Caenorhabditis elegans: one gene and its partners. The protein of the gene in region 1 interacts with the protein of each later gene in a pairwise test. Each region holds a gene or a part of one and is shown in the gene's direction. Other genes may lie near its edges.

What was found.
Region 2: the proteins of cdc-48.1 (region 1) and ubxn-2 interact in a two-hybrid assay, tested with the Caenorhabditis elegans proteins (2 studies listed by BioGRID).
Region 3: the proteins of cdc-48.1 (region 1) and ufd-1 interact in a two-hybrid assay, tested with the Caenorhabditis elegans proteins (2 studies listed by BioGRID).
Region 4: the proteins of cdc-48.1 (region 1) and ubxn-5 interact in a two-hybrid assay, tested with the Caenorhabditis elegans proteins (2 studies listed by BioGRID).

Annotation. Positions count from the first base shown.
Region 1 is NC_003280.10:10,559,125-10,565,404, reverse strand, and holds cdc-48.1 (Transitional endoplasmic reticulum ATPase homolog 1), read left to right. Parts: upstream 1-1,997; 5' UTR 1,998-2,014; coding exon 2,015-2,212; intron 2,213-2,340; exon of another isoform or gene 2,341-2,453; intron 2,454-2,490; coding exon 2,491-3,318; intron 3,319-3,364; coding exon 3,365-4,437; intron 4,438-4,470; exon of another isoform or gene 4,471-4,688; intron 4,689-4,692; coding exon 4,693-4,887; intron 4,888-4,936; coding exon 4,937-5,072; 3' UTR 5,073-5,374; downstream 5,375-6,280. Other genes in the region: C06A1.7 (uncharacterized protein), read right to left, coding at 4-396, 443-493; C06A1.6 (uncharacterized protein), read left to right, coding at 729-794, 838-1,230. UniProt on the Caenorhabditis elegans protein: ATP-dependent chaperone which probably uses the energy provided by ATP hydrolysis to generate mechanical force to unfold substrate proteins, disassemble protein complexes, and disaggregate protein aggregates.
Region 2 is NC_003282.8:2,719,556-2,727,753, reverse strand, and holds ubxn-2 (UBX domain-containing protein 2), read left to right. Parts: upstream 1-1,934; coding exon 1,935-1,945; intron 1,946-1,996; coding exon 1,997-2,107; intron 2,108-2,163; coding exon 2,164-2,311; intron 2,312-2,407; coding exon 2,408-2,514; intron 2,515-4,560; coding exon 4,561-4,855; coding exon of another isoform or gene 4,856-4,924; intron 4,925-6,650; coding exon 6,651-6,739; intron 6,740-7,044; coding exon 7,045-7,189; 3' UTR 7,190-7,441; downstream 7,442-8,198. Other genes in the region: ndua-12 (putative NADH dehydrogenase [ubiquinone] 1 alpha subcomplex subunit 12), read left to right, coding at 7,920-8,020. UniProt on the Caenorhabditis elegans protein: Ubiquitin-binding protein which acts as an adapter for ATPase cdc-48.1 and/or cdc-48.2, conferring substrate specificity.
Region 3 is NC_003282.8:12,328,712-12,333,202, reverse strand, and holds ufd-1 (Ubiquitin fusion degradation protein 1 homolog), read left to right. Parts: upstream 1-2,312; 5' UTR 2,313-2,328; coding exon 2,329-2,406; intron 2,407-2,427; exon of another isoform or gene 2,428-2,433; coding exon of another isoform or gene 2,434-2,493; intron 2,494-2,554; coding exon 2,555-2,692; intron 2,693-2,741; coding exon 2,742-2,953; intron 2,954-3,023; coding exon 3,024-3,484; intron 3,485-3,551; coding exon 3,552-3,691; 3' UTR 3,692-3,795; downstream 3,796-4,491. Other genes in the region: F19B6.1 (Uridine kinase), read left to right, coding at 1-114, 164-546, 1,097-1,445, 1,488-1,622. UniProt on the Caenorhabditis elegans protein: Functions at a post-ubiquitination step in the ubiquitin fusion degradation (UFD) pathway. In association with npl-4.1 and/or npl-4.2 and ATPase cdc-48.1 and/or cdc-48.2, involved in the cytoplasmic elimination of misfolded proteins exported from the ER.
Region 4 is NC_003280.10:10,233,333-10,236,821, reverse strand, and holds ubxn-5 (UBX domain-containing protein 5), read left to right. Parts: upstream 1-2,323; 5' UTR 2,324-2,355; coding exon 2,356-2,421; intron 2,422-2,461; coding exon 2,462-2,591; intron 2,592-2,639; coding exon 2,640-2,968; 3' UTR 2,969-2,989; downstream 2,990-3,489. Other genes in the region: pugs-6 (BPTI/Kunitz inhibitor domain-containing protein), read right to left, coding at 1,314-1,560, 2,007-2,126. UniProt on the Caenorhabditis elegans protein: Probably acts as an adapter for ATPase cdc-48.1 and/or cdc-48.2, conferring substrate specificity. Unlike other UBX domain-containing protein does not bind 'Lys-48'-polyubiquitinated chain.

The DNA of each region.
Region 1 (6,280 bases):
GGTTCAACATTTGCCATTGGATGACCTTCTTCTGATTCCAAGAGCACGATTAGCTTCATCAATTTGAAGCTTTTGAAGGGAACGACGCTTACGGCCTCCACCTCCACATCCACAGCATCCGCATCCGCAACCACATCCACAACAGCATGGTCTACAGCAGGTACAACATCTAGTACAGCAACAAGTTCTACAACAAGTACAACAACATTTGGGTCTACAACAGCAGCAGCATCTTGGTCTGCAGCAGCAACATCCACATCCACCACCACCTCCTCCACATCCACAACATCCACAACATCCTCCATTTCTTTTAACACGAGAAGATCCGATAATTGATGTTTCAGATGAAATTATAGATATTTCTGTTGTTGATACTGGCAAAACTCCTGATTCAACCTATAATAGTATTGTGTTTTCTAACATTTAGAACCTTTACCGATACCTGTGAAATAGCAATAAGGGCAAAGAGAGTCAGAAGTACGATCTTATTCATTTCAGATTATTAGCGTTCGATATGGTTTTCGAATTTCCATCCATTAAATACCCTCTTCTTCTTACGTGTTTGTCGTCTCTCATTTGACACTTTTGCCGGAAACCATTTTTTGTGATCTCTCCGCGCGAGCCGCGTCATGGAAATTGAACACAAAAACTAAGACACTTTGGATCATGGAAAAGTTATATAAAAGCACCATAAAATTGAGATATTCATCAGTTTCTATTCGATCAAAATGACCAAATTCATAATTGGATCTACATTAGTTGTACTGATTTATACAATTGTATCGATTTCACAGGTTAGATTAATAGATTTAGTTCTCGTATTTAAGAAACTTATAGGTTGAATCAGGAGTTTTGCCAGTATCAACAACAGAAATATCTATAATTTCATCTGAAACATCAATTATCGGATCTTCTCGTGTTAAAAGAAATGGAGGATGTTGTGGATGTTGTGGATGTGGAGGAGGTGGTGGTGGATGTGGATGTTGCTGTTGCAGACCAAGATGCTGCTGCTGTTGTAGACCCAAATGTTGTTGTACTTGTTGTAGAACTTGTTGCTGTACTAGATGTTGTACCTGCTGTAGACCATGCTGTTGTGGATGTGGTTGCGGATGCGGATGCTGTGGATGTGGAGGTGGAGGTCGTAAACGTCGTTCCCTTCAAAAACTTCAAATTGATGAAGCTAATCGTGCTCTTGGAATCAAAAGAAGACCATCCAATGGCAAATGTTAATCCATTAATCTATTTGTTTAATTTATTCTAATTCTCGATCGGGAATAAATAATTTGGAAATTATTCAACTTATTAAATTCATAGATCTGGGAAACTATCAAGAATCAAAATCTTAAGACTATTCTCCTCTCGTCTCGTTTCACATCTCTTCGTTCTCCGTCTATCGATCGGGTGATGCTGCAAATCATTTTTATCGATCTACAAAGTGCTGCATTTACTAACGGCATATCGTTTCGAGACCCAAACGCTGATGTGCGTTATTGCAAATAACAGTTATTTTTCCAAACCAGCATTACATTACAGTCCACTTTTTTTCCTTTTCATATTTTCATCCTGGACCCAGCTACATACATTACCGCAAACGTGCAAACGGTAGATTTTATTTACTAGTTCCTTTTTTCCGAAAAATTTCAAAAAATTGTAAACTGCGTTTCCGTTTTCAAAGAACTTTTTTGAAGTTTCAACGCTTTTCATCGCAAATATTTACAAATACGTCTCGTTATTTAGAAATTTTAAAATTTTTTGAACAGTGAAAATCCTTTTCAAACTTCGCGCTAAAATTATAAAGCAACCGCGCCCTAACGTCAGAATCACCAAACACTTTTTGCGTACACTTGTTGAAAACACGCTTCTATATGCGTGGATGATGACAATTTTCAAATCTGTGTCGTTTTTAGAAATAATTTCGTGAACTTTTTTAAAATCTCAATTTTCTTTTATAGTTTCGTTCCCACTATCATTTTGGACACTCATTCTTCTTATTTTAGGTCTTAAATTGTACATAATGGCCTCGGTTCCAACGCATCAAAGCGAAAAAGAGAAGAAAAATGATGAGCTGTCGACAGCTATTCTCAAGGACAAGGTAAAGCCGAATCGCTTGATCGTCGATCAGTCCGAGCAGGATGATAATTCCGTCATCGCAGTTTCCCAAGCTAAAATGGACGAACTGGGACTTTTCCGTGGAGATGCTGTCATCCTGAAGGTATGTGTTTCTTTTTAATTTTTGATTAAAACGCACAATTTAAGAACTTGTAATGTCTGTGATTTACAATATAGGCTGAAAAACGTTCTGTTTTGAAGCTAGTACTGTTTATTTGCTGATGGTTTTATGAGTGTCATAGTTGTGCGATATAGATCAAGTAACGAATCGTTTCAAAGTATTTCGTAATCCTAACACCACGCAAAGGTGCTGATCTCGATTTTTAAACGGTTGTCACACAATTAAATTTTATTTTTCGATTCTAATGATTATTTTTGCAGGGAAAGAAGCGAAAGGAATCTGTCGCCATCATTGTCTCTGATGAGTCCTGTCCAAACGAGAAAGTTCGCATGAACCGTGTTGTCCGCAACAATCTTCGTATTCGCCTCGGAGACGTCGTGAGCATTACGCCAGCTCCAAATCTCAGTTACGGAACCCGCATTCACGTGCTCCCTATTGATGACACTATCGAAGGACTCACTGGAAACTTGTTCGATGTTTTCCTCAAGCCATACTTCCTGGAGGCTTACCGCCCACTTCACAAGGGAGATATATTCACTGTTCAAGCTGCCATGAGAACTGTGGAATTCAAAGTTGTCGAAACTGAGCCAGCTCCAGCCTGCATTGTGTCACCTGATACCATGATTCACTACGAAGGAGATCCGATCAAGAGAGAAGAAGAAGAAGAGAGCATGAATGATATTGGTTATGATGACTTGGGAGGAGTTCGGAAGCAATTGGCTCAGATCAAGGAAATGGTTGAACTGCCACTTCGACATCCCCAACTTTTCAAGGCTATTGGTATCAAGCCACCACGTGGAATTCTTCTCTTCGGTCCACCTGGCACAGGAAAGACTCTTATTGCACGTGCTGTTGCTAATGAAACCGGATCTTTCTTCTTCCTTATCAACGGACCTGAAGTAATGTCAAAGATGTCTGGAGAATCCGAGTCAAATCTTCGTAAGGCTTTCGAAGAATGCGAGAAGAATCAACCAGCTATTCTGTTTATTGACGAAATTGACGCCATTGCACCAAAACGCGAGAAGACCAATGGAGAAGTTGAGCGCAGAATTGTTTCTCAATTGCTTACACTTATGGATGGAGTCAAGGTATGCTTTTAAATTTTATATGATTCGATAATAATAATTATTTTAGGGTCGTTCTAACCTTGTGGTCATTGCTGCAACAAATCGTCCAAACTCGATTGACGGTGCTCTTCGTCGCTTCGGAAGATTCGATCGTGAAATCGATATCGGAATTCCAGATGCAGTCGGCCGGCTTGAGATTCTGCGCATTCACACGAAAAACATGAAGCTCGCGGATGATGTTGATCTTGAACAAATTGCAAATGAATGTCACGGATTCGTTGGTGCCGATTTGGCATCGTTGTGCTCGGAAGCCGCTCTTCAACAGATTCGTGAAAAGATGGAGCTCATTGATCTCGAAGATGACCAAATTGATGCAGAGGTTCTTAATTCACTCGCTGTCACAATGGAAAACTTCCGTTTTGCTCAAGGAAAGTCTTCCCCATCCGCTCTCCGCGAGGCTGTTGTCGAAACTCCGAATACAACTTGGTCCGACATTGGAGGTCTTCAAAACGTCAAGCGCGAACTTCAAGAATTGGTTCAGTATCCAGTGGAACACCCAGAAAAATATCTCAAGTTTGGAATGCAGCCATCAAGAGGAGTTTTGTTCTATGGGCCACCAGGATGTGGTAAGACACTTCTTGCCAAGGCAATTGCCAACGAGTGTCAAGCCAATTTCATCTCCATCAAGGGTCCAGAATTGCTCACAATGTGGTTCGGAGAATCGGAAGCTAACGTCCGTGATGTCTTCGACAAGGCTCGTGCAGCTGCTCCTTGCGTGTTGTTCTTCGATGAGTTGGATTCGATTGCCAAGGCAAGAGGTGGAGGCGCCGGCGGTGATGGAGGAGGTGCATCGGATCGTGTAATCAATCAAGTGCTCACCGAAATGGATGGAATGAACGCGAAGAAAAATGTGTTCATCATCGGAGCTACAAACAGACCTGATATCATTGATCCAGCTGTTCTTCGTCCAGGTCGCCTTGATCAGCTTATCTACATCCCACTCCCAGACGAAGCTTCTCGGCACCAAATTTTGAAAGCTTCTCTTCGTAAAACCCCACTCTCCAAGGATCTTGACTTGACCTTCTTGGCCAAAAACACTGTTGGATTCTCTGGAGCCGATTTGACCGAAATTTGTCAGAGGTGAGTAATTTAATTATTTGAAAATTTGTTCAAAACGCACAACTTAAGAACTTGCGAAATCTACACATTCTTGGCTCTTCTTAGCTGCGTTTTGCAGTTCAGATTCTGCCAAGTTTTGTGTTCATGGTTACGCGAGTGTCATATTTGTGCTATATAAAAAATCGTCTCACAGTAAATTATAATAGTTAGAGTATCTAAAGTCGCGCTAAGGCCCCGATATTCTATTTTTCCTGGTGTGAACGATGACATTTTCAGAGCGTGTAAGCTGGCTATTCGCGAATCGATCGAAAAGGAAATTCGGATTGAGAAGGAACGTCAAGATCGCCAAGCTCGCGGTGAGGAGCTCATGGAAGACGATGCAGTTGATCCAGTACCAGAAATTACTCGTGCTCACTTCGAGGAAGCCATGAAGTTTGCCAGACGCTCTGTTACAGACAATGACATCAGAAAGTGAGTTTTGATAATGGTTTTATTGTATGTCTATAAAATATGTTTGTAGGTACGAAATGTTTGCACAAACATTGCAACAATCTCGTGGCTTTGGAAACAACTTCAAATTCCCAGGAGAACAACGCGGAAGCGATGCCCCATCTGCCCCTGTACCTGCTCAGGATGATGACGACCTTTATAACTAATGTATTGAGTTTATCTACTGAGTCTATGTATGATACTCGTTTTATTTTCTCCCATACCCACTTTTTCACCTCGTATTTCACCCCTTTCCAACCCCCGATTTACCACTATTTATTGTAATTGAGCCCATGTTTTCGCTTTAGAAATTAATGGTTACGGATGATCTTCGCGAGAAGAAAAAATTTGTAGATACCTACATCCCAGTTGATCAAAAAGTATATCCCATTTATTTTTTTGCATCCCTCCCAATGTTTTGTATGTATTGCCGTTTTTGACATATAAATGTACGATGTCTGTAATCATAATTGTGTACGATTGTGTTGCCATATTCAAACTATTATTTGTGATTGTGTAGGTGGAATTGTCTCATGACCAATGACTGGTTGTTCCGTTGATAATGGGAAGCTGTATTTAAGATAAGTTGCCTAAGTTTAACGTAATTTTTTGGACCAGGTTTTAATATCAATCATCAAACCTATTTAGCGATCCAGTTGTTCTTGATCTTTTGGAAAGTAGAAGTGCTTTTTCATTCATTGATATCATTTTCCATCGATATTGTCTCCACACTCATAGGAGTGCACGCATTTCGTACATAGTCATGAGGTTTTTAACAAAGAAAATGCCGAATTGAGTACTATAGTTGCTTATCTTCAAGCTTGTTGAACTCGTTTCTGGCCAATTTTCAAAAATTCCTTGTCCTCGTTGTCTGTCACATGAATCTTTTAGATCAGATATTAATATTGATAGTAACTGATAAGTGCCAATAGTTTTCAAATTCTTAAAAATATCTGAAAACACAAAATTTGCCGCAAATATGCACATTTTTGTAAGAAACACCGTCACGAACAAATTCACACTACAGTGCTTTTGTTTTTTTTTTCTAGAAAAATTGGTTTTTCATGCCTGAAAGTCGCATTTCTACTATTTATTTTCCATTACTTTAGTCGTATTTCTTCTCGTGAGACACAAAAAAACAGTCTTTTCACAACTGAACGGCATGCACTTTTGAATACGGTGCCTGCGAGACAGAGATCACATGCCATCCAATGTCGCCCGGGAATCTTGTGACCCATTCGCTCTCTCGAATAAATAAATCAAAAAAAGCGGCAAGAATCAGTTTCATGGATCTTTTCGATGCATACGAATGACTTCTCAGCCTTCAGACTTTCCGAAGGTCAAAAGAAAAAGAACCGGCGACAATTCGAAAAAC
Region 2 (8,198 bases), on another chromosome or scaffold:
GTTATGAATTTTGAGCCGAGACTCATTCCCCCTAAATACCATTCAATTGTATCTAACAATTTTACATTCTAAATTTCTTCCGATTTGAATAAATATGTTTAACATCTATTCCGTTTTGTTTTATGAAGATTGTAGTAGACAAGTAGTAGAAAACTCTAATTCACAATCACCTGATTTTTATAGAGGGATAGAGGACAACAGAGCAAGCGGGAAAGATGTAGGTCACAATAGGAAACAACTTCCATGGTAGGCAAGCGCGTTTTCAGGGACCTGCCCGCCAGCCTTCCTGCTCATTGTTTGCATTTTTACGTGAATTTACAAATTTATTATATAATTTTCTCATTTCTATAAATTTGATAAATATCAAATCACTAGTTAGCATAAGAAGCGGGTTGTGGCGAGAGGCAGGCGGAGGTTGGAACTTTATACAGACGTGACCTTTCGGTCATCATGAACTTATCGCGTAAGCGACCTCTCTTTATAATTCATTACTTCTTACACTCTCTTGTAATAAACTTCTTCTCTCCTTGTCACTCGCTCAATACACAACAATAATTTTTTACTTGGAAATTGTTTTAGCATCTGCAAAAAGTATTTATTTATCAGTTTTAATAAGAAAAAACGGGAAAAAGCTGTGAAAAACGAAAGAAAACAGGCGGAAAACAAAGCAAGATAAATGGCCGCTGAAACTTGTCGGCCCCTCGGCCATGGCCTAGAAACCACTTTTCCTCGTCCCTCGTAAGGAAAAAGTTGCAGTGAAGGATCCCGTGGTTTCCCGAGCAATTTGAAATTGTCAAATTAAGTTCAAAAACCAAATGATGGTTTGAAACTACAGGAATAAATCGGTATCCTGTGTCACGTAGCCTACTTGACTTGGAGTAGGATGGCTCTAAAGTTTCGGAACATTTGCGGAAACTTGGGTTGATCATGATGTGTGTAAAGGAATGAAGCTACCGTATAATACCTGCATGCAAGAATAATTTTGATTAGTCCATTTGCAGATTTTTAAAACTTGTCGTTCAAAACAACGACTCACAGCCTCCTCACGTGGAAATGACCCAACAACAGGGGGCTTGCGCGTTTCTCGTGAGCGTGGGAAAATTTTGCCGTTGAAAAGTAATTTCCTTCAGTTTTCATGGGTTTGAAATCGATTTCAAACTTTTTAATTACGTATCAATTGTAAAGCTACTTGAGGGTAAGGTGAAGGAAAAAAAAGATTTTTGATTTTTGTTCAAAAATAAAAGCGATGATATAAAAAGAAAAAAACATCTAAAAATTGAGTTTTTCTCATATTTCGTATATTTATCATCATTTTTCTAGTGGAAATTGATGTATATTTGAAAAGTAATCTTCCACCAAAGCTTATGTTATAAAAAATATGAAGAAAAACAGTAAATTGAACGTTTTCGGTAATTTCTCAATTTTCCACGCGATGCACGAGAAGTGCGCCAATGGACCGACTTTAAATTTTTTTTTCTCATAGTCAGTGGGATTTTTTTTCAATCTGATGGTTTCTTGATGCTTTTGAGTAAAATTTTGAATATTAAAAATAAAGACATTTCAAATATATTATCAAAATCCACTTTTAGACGTGATTTCTCAGAAAAATTAGAATTTTTCCTCGATTTCAGGTAAAATTTCAGTTCACAATTGTTTTTTAAGTTTTTCCCCAAAGAAACTGTTGATTTATTATCAATTCGCAGAATTTGGACGCTGCTGGAAACGTGCCCCCGACAAGAATTGCGTCAACAGCGGCTGCTGACGCACTTCCCGCACGCGCTGGCGCGTTTCTCGGCGCGTTTTATCATTATTATTTTGTTTCCTATTTCCATCGGTTTTTCGTCGTTCTTTTTTTGTTTTTCACTCATTTTTTCTCAAATTTAATATTTTTACAGTGAAAACCTTCAATTTTCCACCACAAAACCCCGGAAAAAATGAGCAGAAAGTGAGTGTCGCCCGCGATTTTCAACCTCAAAAATCGATAAATTACTTGCAGTATTCGCACGTTTCGTGACATTGGAAACAACGACGATGGGGGGCCGGACAGCGACGATTCAGGAGCCGATGCCGCCGAGAGAGGAGCCCCACAGGAATTTTACGCTGGAAGGTAGCCGCAATTCCTAGATTTTTTAATTAAAATTTTTTAAAACTTGGATTTTTCAGCGGACAAGCAGTTCAAGGACCACGTGGAGCTGCTGCTCGAGGCCCGGATAGTGAAGCCCACATTCGGAGAATCCTTCAGGCCGCCGAAGTGGTTCAGCCAGAGGGAGGAGAAGCTCCAAGAGGACGCCCGTCAGGGAGAGAAACTATTGTAAGCCGCGGTGGGCTGCTGAAATAGCTGAAAATCATTGATTTCTGCTCATTTTTTGCGCGGCGAATTTGCTTTAAAATCGATATTTTTTTGCAGAGCCTAACGCTTCACCTGTGGTCCGACGGCTTATCGATCGAAGACGGCCCGTTAATGTCTCGCCAGGACCCCAGAACTATTGAATTCTTGGAAAGCGTCGGAAAAGGGTACGGAATGACGGAAAATGGAGGATTTCTTGAAGAAAATCGAGAGAAAATTGGATTTTTTTGACGAGAAAATCAAGATTTTCGATCCAATTTTCACTGAAAATACAAAATACAAGATTTTTTCTTAACACATAAAAATCAGTTTTTTGGCAGGAAAATCATGATTTTATCGTTGAAAATGCAAAATTCTACTTAAAATTGGGACTTTTAAGCTGTTTTCATGTAGAATTTAGTCCAAAATTTGAGTTTTTCAAAGTTTTTTCATAGTAATCCTATTTTCAGCAAACTTTACCTGGAAATTGTCCAGTTTTCGCCAAAAAAAAAATCGATTTTCCCACGATTTTTATTGATTTTAACAAATAAAATATGTGAAAAATCTTCATTTTAAACTAATTTTCACTTAAAAAATGAGAAAATCTCGATTTTTTGGCCGAAAATTTAAAAATTTGATGCTAAAAATGCAATATTTCAGCTGAAAATTGCATTTTTTAAGTTATTTTTGGGCATTATTAGCTTAAAATTGATGTTTTTCACTGTTTTAAGCTGATTTTCAGCGATTTTCTCTTGAAAATTGTTCACATTTCGATTTTTTCCACTATTCTCCTCAGTTTTTAGCAGAAAAATCGACTTTTCTTCGAATTTGCTGATTTTAAAATCAAATTTCGTTTAAAAAAACTTTTATGAATTTTCACATAAAAATGATGAAAATTCTCCAATTTCTGTCGGAAGAATTCCTGAAAATGGAATTTTTATCTTTTTTTTTCAAAAAATTCAAAATTTTGCCAAAAAATCGATTTTTCTACAAATTAGTCGCTTTTAACAGCAATTTTCGTTGAAAAAAACTCAATTTTTATAACTTTTAGCATAGAAAATGTTGAAAATGGCTTAAAAATGTTCGAACTTCTTCAAGAAAAGTGCCAAAAAATTCATTTTTTTTCACATTAAAAAATTTTTTACAGAAAACCATGAAATTTCCAATTTTTCTCCAAAAATCTCCGATATTTCTCCCTGCAAATTTGAAAATTCCCCAAAAATAATTTTTGTGAAATGCCAATTTTCAGCCAAAAATTGATTTTCTAGCGATTTAGCCGTTTTAATATCAATTTTTACACATAAAAATCGGTTTTTTGGCAGGAAAATCATGATTTTATCGTTGAAAATGCAAAATTCTACTTAAAATTGGGACTTTTAAGCTGTTTTCATGTAGAATTTAGTCCAAAATTTGAGTTTTTCATATAGTTTTAATTTTATTTTCAGCAAACGCCAAAAAAATTTTGATTTTGCAACGATTTTTGGCGGCGATTTTAATATCAACATTTGTGCAAAAATGCCAATTTTAATCAATTTTCACATAAAAATTGAGAAAATCTCGGTTTTTTGCCTGAAAATTTAGCATTTTATCGCAAAAAACGCATTGTTTCAGTTGTAAATTGTTAAGAAACCGAGGAAACCTATATTTTAATCAGTTTTTTAGCAAAAAAATCGATTTTTCTACGAATTAGCTGATTTAAATGACAATTTTCGTTGGAAAAACTCAATTTTTATGAATTTTCACATAAAAATGATGAAAATTCTCCAATTTCTGTCGGAAAAATTCCAGAAAAGGCATTTTTATCCACTAAAAAAAATTCAAAATTTTCCAATATTTTCCTCAGTTTTTAGCAAAAAAATCGATTTTCCTACAAATTTGCAGATTTTAAAATCAAATTTCGTTGGAAAAACTCAATTTTGATGAATTTTCACGAAAAAATGTTGAAATTGGCTCAAAATTCTCCAATTTCTTCGAGAAAAATCCCAAAAAAAATGGAACTTTTTTTCCATTTTTTCAAAAAACTCAAATTTTTCCAATATTTTCCTCAGTTTTTAGCAAAAAAATCGATTTTTCTACAAATTAACCGATTTTAAAATCAAATTTCGTTGAAAAAAAACTCAATTGTGATGAATTTTCACGAAAAAAAAATTGAAAATTCTCCAATTTTTACCGAAAAAAGTGCCAAAAAATCCATTTTTCACTAATTTTTCTATTTTTTTTTTGTTTTTTTTCAGTGAAATCCCTCCATCACTTGTTCAACAATATCCGGGAAAAGAAATCGATTTCAAAGTGAACCGCCACCACGAGGAGTACGTTGCTCCGAAGATGAAGCCATTCGGCGGTAGTGGAGTCCGTTTGGGAAATGTTGTCCCAACAGTTTTGGGACAATCATCGTCGTCTGCCACCACTGCTGGGACATCATCTGCAACAACTGATCATAACCCGGATCATACTGCTGAAAATGAGGCAAAACAGCTGGAAGATGCTAAGAAGGAGCTGAGCACCAATATGAATGAGCCAACGACTAATGTACGGAGTTTGTACTACGGTTTTGGAGCAGCGAAAATTTTTGGAAATTTGGAGGAAAACTGCGGCTAAAATTGGCAGTTCTAAAAGAAAAATGGACGAAAAAATTCAGTAGAAATAGGCTAAAATCAACTGCAATTAGTAATTCAGTCCCCCCACAAAACTGACCTGAAAATGCAATAAATTAGAAGAAAAACGGTCGAAAATTACCTGAAAATCATAAAAATCGAAAAAAAAAATCGGTGGCCGAACTTTTCGATTTTCTAGGCCATCAGGTGAAAAGTTAGACCCCCCCACAAAACTGACCTGACCTATCACGCAGAATGTCAAAACAAAATTGGGGGACTAATTTTTCACTTGGTGGCCTAGAAATCCAAAAGTTCGGCCACCGATTTTTCATTTAATTTTTATGTTTTTCCGGTCATTATTGATAGTTTATCTTCGCATTTTCAGCCATTTTTCCACCTGAAAACTTACAAATAACGCTTCTTAAGCACCGCTTTGACACCTCCAATCTCCTTGACCATTTGGCCAAACTTTTGGATTTTATCGATTCCCAGCCACGCTTTCAGGGACATCTGTAATGTAAATTTGGTTGGAAAAATGGGATTTTTTTTCAGTAAAAAATATGAAATTTTAACGGAATGTGGGGGAAAAAAATTTGACCAAAAAACATTTTTTTCGCCATTTTTTGGCGAAAAACTCCATATTTCCTGTGAAATATGATATTTTTCGAGTTTTTCACTGAAAAATCTTGAATTGCTCGGAAAAAATCGGAAAAATCGATTTTTCAGTGGAAAATGTACGGAGTTTGTACGGTTTTGGAGCGAAAATTTGTGAAATTTGGAGGAAAACCGGCTAAAATTGGCAGTTTTAAAAAGAAAAATCAAAGAAAAAATTCAGTAGAATTAGGCTAAAATCAACTGCAAACTTTTGAAAATTAAATTTTAAATATATGTTATCAATTATACACTAGAAAAAACATCCCAGAATCAGTTTATTTCTGAAAAATTTCAAATCGGATAAAATAAGCTTCAAAAACACTCTAAAATTAAATGATTCTGATAATAAAATATTCAAAAATTCGCTTAAATTGGGAAAAAAAATCGGTGGCCGAACTTTCGGATTTCTAGACCATCAAGTGAAAAGTTAGTCCAGCCCATTTGAAAATAGCTAGACACAATTCAAAATGGCAAGAAGACGTTTGTGGAGGACTAACATCTCAGTTGGTGGCCTAGAAATTCAAAAGTTCGGCCATCGACTTTTAAAATTTTATTTTCTTCCAATTTTTCACAAAAATGTGCTGAATTACTAATTATTCGATGGGAAACCCGAAAAAAATCGGTGGCCTAACTGTTTTAAAAAGTCGGCCACCAATTTTTTTCGCGCAAATTTGACCGTTTTTTCGTCAATTTTCCAAATAAAAAATTGCTGGCCTAGAAACCCAAACCTCGGCCACCTATTTTTCACCTAAAAACCGTACCTAAACACACCATCAGGACGCTTTTCTGCTCTCCGACGCTCATTTTCTGGGAAAAAATCAGATTTTTTTCCTGAAAAAAACGTGAAAAATCAATAAAAATATCACAAAAAGGTCGTAAAATCCTTCAAAAAATCAATAAAAATTGGCAAAAAAAAATCGATAAAAATCTACAAAATTCATATGATTTTAAACACAAAAAAAACGGAGAAAAATCTACTTTTTCGAAAAAAAAAAATTTCAGGCTCTAATTATAGATTTTCAGTCGAATTGTGGCTTCTTTCCTGATATTTTGATTAATTTTAACAAAATTTTCAGATCCAAATCCGTCTGCCAAACAATCAGCGTCTCGTCGGTATTTTTAATCATTCTCACACACTTGAAGCAGTTCGTACATTCATTTGCACGTGAGTTTTCAGCCGGAAAAAGCTATTAAAAACTCTCATTTTTCACTAGAAAAAGTAGATTTTTAGAAAATTTCGAATTAAAAAAATAAAAAAATCATCTAAAAATCACATTTTTAGCCTGAAAAATTCGAAATTTTCCAATGAATAATTATTTTTTAATAATATTTTTCTGATATACACAGTGATAGAAAAATTACATTTTTCAAATTAAAAAATTACATTTTTCAAATTAAAAAATTACATTTTTCTAGTTTTTTCTTTCAAAAAACTCAAATTTTTTTAATTTAAAAATTTTGATTTTCCAGCGCCCGCCCAGATATGATCTACGCTCCATTCCAAATGATGGCTGCCTACCCTCCAAAACCATTTGAAGACGAATCACAGACTCTGAAGGATGCAAATGTGCTCAATTCGGTCGTCGCCGTGAAAATCTTGCCCACCACCAACTGAGGAGATTCCTGACGCTGCTTTTTTGGCGGGAAAATTGAAAATTGAAAATTTCATCTGAAAAAATTTCGAATTTCTACTCGTTTTTACCCCCCAAAACCTCTCAAATTCCCTGAAAATACCTGTATTTTACGCTAAATTATTTGATTTTTTCCCCCCATTTCCCAATATCGTTTTTTTTCTTTCTTCTATCACACTTTAATGCATAAAAAAAGTACACCGTTTTCTGTGAAAAATTGCGGCGATTTTTATTGATTTTTTGTTTTGGAATTTGCGAGTTTTTCAAGCTCTGAAATATTTTTTTTATTTTTTCCAGATTTTCAGAATTTTTCAATTTTTAGTGAAAAATGCACATTTTTTACAAATTTTCCATTAAAAATTCAATTTTAAAGTCAAATTTTGAATTTTTCAGATTTTTTCCCAATTTTTCAGAGAGAAAAATCCTTCTTCTGCGATTTTTTGGTGAAAAATTTAAAGTTTTCAAAAAATGTAAAAATTCACTTTTTTTGTTCCAATTTTCCACTGAAAAATCGATTTTTCCCTGATTTTTTTCAAAAAATTCAAGATTTTTCAGTGAAAAACTCGAAAAATATCATATTTCACAGGAAATATGGAGTTTTTCGCCAAAAAATTTATAAAAAATTTTTTTTTGAAAAAATTCACAAAATGCTTGGTTTTTCCTCCCCACATTCCGTTAAAATTTCCCATTTTTCCAACCAAATTTACATTACAGATGTCCCTGAAAGCGTGGCTGGGAATCGATAAAATCCAAAAGTTTGGCCAAATGGTCAAGGAGATTGGAGGTGTCAAAGCGGTGCTTAAGAAGCGTTATTTGTAAGTTTTCAGGTGGAAAAATGGCTGAAAATGCACTAAATTAGAAGAAAAACGGTCGAAAATTACCTGAAAATCATAAAAATCGAAAAAAAAATCGGTGGCCGAACTTTTCGATTTTCTAGGCCATCAGGTGAAAAGTTAGTCCCCCACACAAAACTGACCTGACCTATCACGCAGA
Region 3 (4,491 bases), on another chromosome or scaffold:
GTGTTCGTCGACACGGATGGAGATCTTCGTCTAGCTCGTCGTATCGTTCGGGATGTCACTGATCGTGGGCGTGACATCGACGGCATCATGGAGCAGTACTTTACATTTGTAAAAGTAAGAGAATTGTTGTAACTCGTCGTCTCAAGTAACTTTCGAGTTGCAGCCGGCGTTCGACAAATACATTGCACCATGCATGGATTCGGCTGATCTCATCGTTCCGCGCGGTGGAGAGAACGACGTCGCCATCGACATGATCGTGCAGAACGTGATGGCACAGCTCGTTGAACGCGGATACGATCGCAATCAGAACAACCGTGATCGTCACGATTTGGTTCGCGACGATCTACCGGATTGTTTGCCGGAAAACCTGTTCATTTTAAAAGAAACTCCACAGGTCAAAGGTCTTGTCACGTTTGTTCGTGATCGAGAAACGAGTAGAGACAATCATATTTTCTATTCTGATCGATTAATGCGTATTCTTATTGAAGAATGCATGAATCATATGCCTTACAAAGATGTTGAGATTGAGATGGCCGGCGGTAGAAAGTGAGTAAATTTGAAACTGAAAAATGGTCACTGCAAGATTTGAAAATTCCTTTTTGAAATCTGAAATCAGCGCCAACCTTTCTGAAATTTCTGAATCTGACTGCAAAAATACGGTACCCGGTCTCGACACGACAAATGTTTGTTAAACAAAAGTGTGCGCCTTGAAATAGTACTGTAGTTTCAATTTCTTATCACTGCGGATTTTTTGTTTTATTTTAAGTTTTGTTTATGGTTTCAATCAAGTTTTTTAATACAGAAATAATTTTTATAGAAAAACTACAAAGAATCAATAAAAATTCTGCAGTAATTTAAAATTACAGTAATCTTTAAAGGCGCTCTTTCAGCAAAAAATCTGTCGAATCGAGACCGGCTACCGTATTTTCGGCTTAAGAATTGCAAAGTTTCAGATCTTGGTTTCGGATATTCGGATATTAATGTTCTATTGTTTCCAATATAAGAATAAACTTTTTCTAAATAAAACTTGAAAACTAAACAATTGAAAACGTCTAAAATAGGCTCAACCATCTAGAAACTTTAATTTTTATTTCAGAACTATTGGCAAACGAAAGGACGCTCAGATTTGTGGTCTTCCAATCATGCGAGCCGGCGAATGTATGGAGACTGCTCTTCGCTCAATCGTCAAGGACTGCGTGATCGGAAAAATTTTGATTCAAACCAACGAGACGACGTTTGATCCAGAACTTCATTATATACGTTTGCCACCACACATAACTCGATACAAAGTTATCATTATGGACGCCACCGTAACTACTGGGAGTGCTGCGATGATGGCAATTCGTGTACTTCTTGATCATGATGTTAAAGAGGAAGACATATTTGTTGCATCTCTGCTTATGGGTCAACAAGGTGCACATGCACTGGCTTATGCCTTCCCGAAGGTTTACAATTTTTTATTTGAATTAAAAATTATTAATTTTCAGGTTAAATTAATCACCACCGCAATGGACCACCAAATGACGGAAAATTGCTATCTGATTCCCGGAATGGGCAATTTTGGTGATCGATATTACGGAACCGGGCTCGAACAAGACATGGACGAGCCATTCGATATGTGATCATCTGTTATCACAAAAATGATCAATTTTCTTCATAATTTATCAAAGTTTCTGTTTTCCTTCCATTTCATCTGATGAATTCCTACTTTCTTGTTCCTTTTCACTAACTTTATTATTATAATTATAATTATTCATAATGTTCTTTCTTTCCCATCATCATATCCATCCTTCTATACATTTTGTTTCCATTTGTTGTTGAAATTTTATATGCTATTTCATTTTTTGTCGTCCTTTTTTTCCGTTCTTCATTTTATTGACTTCTCTTCATGATTTCTGGCATTCAGCTCGATAATTCATTTATACCCTGTTCTTTCTAGTGTTTTTTCGCGTTGTTTGTGACGGTTAAATTCTTCCCTCTACATCTTTGCGCGTTTCCACACAAAAATCTGTACACGACATTCGGTTTTCTCGTTGTTCCATTTCTTTTTTGTTCAACGGAGCGCGTTTGTCGTTGCAGGAATCGGTTTTAATATCATCATCCATTCACGCATTCTCTTTTTCATGTTGTTCATTGTGTTTTTCTTCAATTTTTGTCAAGTTTCCTTCACACGTGCATTTTAGTAATTTCTTTCTATAATAAATTGCAGTTTGTTAAATATTTAAATGATCAATGAGCTCTCTTTTCTTGGTTGGCTCATCCTCTTTGTATTTTTTGAATTATAGTTGAAGAAAACGTTAATAACTTTTCAGAAAACCAAAAATAAAAATGCAAGCGTGGATACAACAAGGACTTCACGGGATGCAGATGGGCGGCCGAGTCGGGAATTATGATCAAACTTTTGTGGTGAGCTTTTAAAATTCATTTCGAAAGATGTTTGCAAACTTTTTTCAACAACAACTTCGCCGAACTACTCGTCATTTCGATCTCATTGTAAATAATAAATTGGATTTCAAAGATTATATTTCAGCGTTAATAAACAATTAAATTTCAGGTATATGGGCCCGTATTCCTTCCCAATGCAACACAGTCAAAAATAAGCGAAATCAATTATGGTGGAAAGATTCTTCTGCCGTCATCTGCTCTCAACTTGCTCATGCAATATAATATTCCGATGCCAATGCTTTTCAAGGTTTGTTTTGTATAGCTTGAAGTAACTAGAAAACCATTAAAATTTACAGCTAACCAATATGGCTGTTCAACGTGTAACTCATTGCGGTGTTCTTGAATTTTCTGCTCCAGAAGGACAAGCCATTCTGCCACTTTGGATGATGCAGCAATTGGGACTTGACGATGGAGATACCATTCGCATTGAGTCTGCAACTCTTCCGAAAGCCACGTTTGCTAAATTGAAGCCGATGTCACTCGAGTTTCTGAATATTACTAATCCAAAGTGAGTTTTCATAAACTCTAATAATTTTTTGAAGTTTTTGAACAAAGTCCTATATTTTTCTATTTTTCAGAGCTGTTCTTGAAGTGGAACTTCGAAAATATGCATGCCTCACCAAAAACGATCGGATCCCAACATCATATGCTGGACAAACTCTCGAATTCCTCGTCGTTGATTTGAAACCGGCCAACTCTGTGTGCATCATTGAATGTGATGTTAATCTCGATTTCGATCCTCCAGAAGGCTACGTTGAACAACCGAGACAGGTGACTCCTGCTGTCACTGCCAAGCCGCCTGCGCCAGATGCATCCGCATTTATTGGAGCTGGACAAAAAGCTGGTGGTAGTGGAGGGACAGGACAAAATGCAACTTCTGTATTCGGAGGAGCTGGGCGTCGTCTCGATGGAAAGAAGAAGCCATCATCTTCAGTATCACTCTCAGATGGAACCGGTGTTAGTACGAGTAATGCAGCTCCAGTGGCGAATGATTTGCCAGCTATTCCACCAGTGGTTGTCAATGAAGACTACAAACCAGGTAATACTTGTTTCATCTGAAATAAACATTTCAAAATAATTGAAAAGTTAAATTTTATGATTTTCAGGTCGTGTTTCATTCCTTCGTTATGATTATAAACGTGTTGATGTTCTCGAAAAAGAGCTCCGAGAGAAAGAAGCCAGCAAGGCAGGACAACCGTCAAATGTCTTCCGTGGAGGCAATCGAACACTGAGAGGAGCCCGTTAATGTCTCGAATCTGGCCAATTGTGCTATGAATAACATCTTTCACTTCACATAACCTTGTAAAAGTTCATCGCCACTTTTTTGTACAGGATAAATTTATTTGAATATATTATTCTTTGATAAGTGTGATTCAGAGATGAAATTGAAGGAGATCTCCGGAGAAAAAAATGAAATAACTAATATTATAGAACTATTCACTTGTTACAAAAATGCCTTGTAAGGTTTAAAAAATTGCAGAACTTGTTTAGATCATAAATTCTGGCTAGCGTCTGTGCTTCCGAAAACACACAAATGGACTTTTTCAATTGAAATTTTTTTGTTGAATCGAAAAATTCAATATTCAAGGAGCTCGGCCATGAAGCTGATGAACCTTCAGCGATGTCAGTGATGGGTGGAGTGGTTTCTTATCCAAACTTCTATGAATGAAAAAACCTGGAGAAAATGCTGTTTTGAAAGCCAACTCTATTTTTTGCAGAAAAAGGTCCAAATAGTCGATAGCTTCACAAAAGATCACTCGAAAATAGTCAAGATTCTGCAGGAAAAAGTCAAGTCTCAATACAAAAATTACATCTACAACACCAAAAAATCATTAAAATAAATACTAATTTATTGATACGGCGAAAGAATCGAATAAAATACAAAAAAAAAGAAAGTAGGATAGCTGAAGCAAATCGAGAGAACGGAGAAACAAATTATACGAGTTGGGATACAAACATAAAATACCATAATTGCCTACAATGGCTGGATGTTGAAGATTGAAGAGGTGGATCAGTTCTTTGTCGGAGTTCTCACTCCAGGAGGTT
Region 4 (3,489 bases), 330 kb from region 1:
CAAAACAGTCTTCTCTCTTTCTCGGCTCGTGCTGCGTGGCTCATTTGCGTATATACTCTAAGGAGTTATGCATGGAACGTTTGGAACGTTTGAAGAAGAGAGCTCAATGTCTATGTCCCCCGTGTGCTCTCCGGAGACAAAGGGTTAGGCGGAGAGCAGCAATATGAGCATTTTGACAAGTACTCAAATATTTCTCCATTGTTTAGTTTCGAGATAATATGGTTAAAATCACAAAAGTTTCATGTTTACCGGAAAGATTTTCATAGTTAAAGTGTGCCATGCGGAGCCGGAAATCTAGAGAATTTCGTCGAAAATTTGAAATTCTTGGCAATAAAGTTATTATGGATCTTTTGAAATCGAGGCGCAAGGGCGCTCTATGGCACTCTCCGCCCCTAGACGTTGGGTCTCGTTAGGAATAGAATCCGGAAATTCGAATTTTAAATGTTTTTGTTGTTTTTAATGATTTTATGTCGAATTTTATGAATTTATATAATTTCGACATAAAAACAACGATAAATAATTAATTTCTCAGTGGAGCACATTTGCATTTCGACTTCAAAAATCGCATTTTTTTGCGTCCCTATAATAACCCCCTACTTAATATTTTTACCAACAAGATGTTTTGGTACACAAAAAGTGCATTTCGAGAACTAAATAATTGCTCCGAGAGCCGCGTTTCCCCTATTCACACTAACTCATTTTATCCAGTTTTGCATGTAAAAATCTTTTTATGCACAAAAAAACAACACGGGAGAGACGGAGAGCAAGATTTTCCTCTTTTTTCAAGAAAACTGAGCAATAAAGACATGAAAAGGCAAGGATTTATTTCAAAAATAGTTATTATTATACGTTCCAGAAAAAATTACGAACGTATAATAATTCGTAAAAGAATTAAAATAAAATACAAAAGACAATGTGTGAAACCGGGGAATTTAGGAAGGAAATAATGGGAAACGATGCCTACCTTGAAGGACAATCAATTGTACCGGAAAAAGACCAAAATGCATTATGAAAATGGAAAAAATGCAAGTGCGCTCTATTGATGTGTCAATAGTAGAGCGTACATGCATCAGATACTAAATTCAAAAACTAGAAAGGATTAGGAGATTTTCGAGAGTGAGAGAGATTCTAGACAAGGTTAACTGGAACTATAAAAGGAAAATGTAAAGACAATTATGTTCAAACAGAAGCAGTGGAAGATCGATTTGGGTTTTACACTTTTTGACAGTGTATCTTTTTTTGAATTAAACAGAGAAAATTTGTTACAGAGAAAGAGAAATAAAAAATCAGATTCTCACCCAAAATTTTCAAATTTAATTCAAGCGATGTGCTCTTCCCTTATGGAATGTTCCATCAGCATACGATCCAAGACTTTTTTCTTCTTTTCCAGCACATACTTTATCACAATCAACGACTCCGTAGAGAGTGAGATGTCCAATTGGTTTTGTGCTCATTTCACGTTTTGGGGTTGAAGCCTGACGTTTCAGCTTCTTCTGACGCTCGTGAAAGGCTTTTCCGTACTTTCTGGGGCGCTTCTCGAGGACAAAGTAGAAGGACCAGCTGGAAAATTTAAATAATTATTAAATTTGGTAATGTGTATTTATAAATGTTTTTGAAAAAAACTTTCCCCATTCCATTGAAATTTTTTGCAGAAAACCCCTATTTTTAAAGGTGGTGTAGCCATAATGGAGATTAAGCTTTAAAATTTTTTTTAATTGGTGTGAAACTCAGAAAACCCACAAAAAACATCGATAGAAAAAGAAGAAGAATTCTCCTTTTAAAAACTATATTTTCCAATTTTGGTTTATTTCTTTTTTTTTTTGGAATTCGCTCCAAAATGAGAATTTCTAGATTTTTACGAAACGGATCCCATTGGAAATCACAAATTTCGGAATAAAGATTAACCATTTTTTTGGTAAAAGTTCAATTCTTAAATATCTATCAAAAGTTGATAATTACATACTACTGACATAATTATTTTCCAACGCACACACACTTTCACTCACTCTGCCACTTTATGCGACCACGGACGAAGATACGTGCATCCTTCTTTATCATCCGGGAACCAAAACTTGTCTAATGTACAGAAGCCGCCTTCTCCCAGAATACATGTGTATGAGTGAAGCCTGAAAATTATAGTTTTTGAATTGTTATTAGAAATTGGAAATTGGAAAGTATTTGAATTTTTTGAACTGTTAGAAAGTACTCTTAAAAATATATTAGTTTTAAAAAATCCTGAAAAGAAAACGTGTGAATTCAAAAATAAATAAAATTTAGACTTTGCAACGTCAAATTCTGATAGCAAATTTTCAACAAAAAAATCATTACCACATTTTCACTAACTACCACTAGACGATGCCAACTAACAATCACGTACAAAAGGAGAAGTTTGCGGAGGATCGTGCTCTGTTGAGCCAACAGGTTAGATTCGGATTATGACAGTGATAAGTTAGAATTTCAGAACAAAGAATATGCGGAGAGTCTTGCCAAGGATATTGCAAAGAAAGAAGAAAAGGATAAAATTAGATTTGAAGCTGAACAGAAGGAGCTGAGGAAGAAAACCATTCAGGATTACAGAGAGAAGTTGAAAGGTAATTTAGAACCCATAGTTGCAAATAATGCAAGCTGGCCTATTCCAGGAACTGTATCACAAGGACCCCTCCGTCTTCTAGTACGATACCCCAATGGTTCTCGATTAATTCTGAGCTTCTCCCCATCACAACCGATGACTTCACTTTTTGATGCTATTATTTTGAATCCGGCGTGCCCTGACTATTTCTCGGTTCGAAGTGTCTATCCTCGTGCGGAGATTCATTGCTATCCAGCATGGTATCACACGATTTTCAATGCAGAATTCAAGGATGAAACAGAAAAAGGAGCAAATAATGTGGCGAAGGAGACGAATGAAGTAAAATGTCTAGAAACTATTCCGAATAACTCAATCCTCTACGTGAATTTGATTCAATGAAGTCAAACTCATCTTGACTATAATGCAGGGTATTTCATGTAGGCGCCAAGATGCCTAGCTGACCTTAAGGAGACCTTCACCTGCCTCGCGCCTTTAATGCCTTTGGGTGACGTGAGGCAGGTAGGTTCCAGGTAGGCTCTCACGCCGCGCCTGCCCATCACGGAAGACCTTCACTTAATGTATGCCTGATACATATAGAAATTCAAAAATAGCCAGACTTCAACCAAACTTTGGCAAGTTGTGGGCGAGAATTTTAAAAAAGTTCTCCATATCGATCAATAATTAAAATTTATTAAACTTGGCCAAGCTCTTGGGTTGAAGTTCATTGAAAATTTGCTAAAAGTTGGTTCAAAGTGTGGTGAGATGATTTGCATTAGAGAATGAAGGAAGTTTGGTAAGCCGTGAGCTAACTTGGGTGAGAAATTGGCAAATTGGCAAAACTTGGTAAGAAATTCCAAAGGGGAAATCTTGACGTAGAATCCAAGCTGAACTTCGAATAGATACTGGTAATCTTTCTCTGT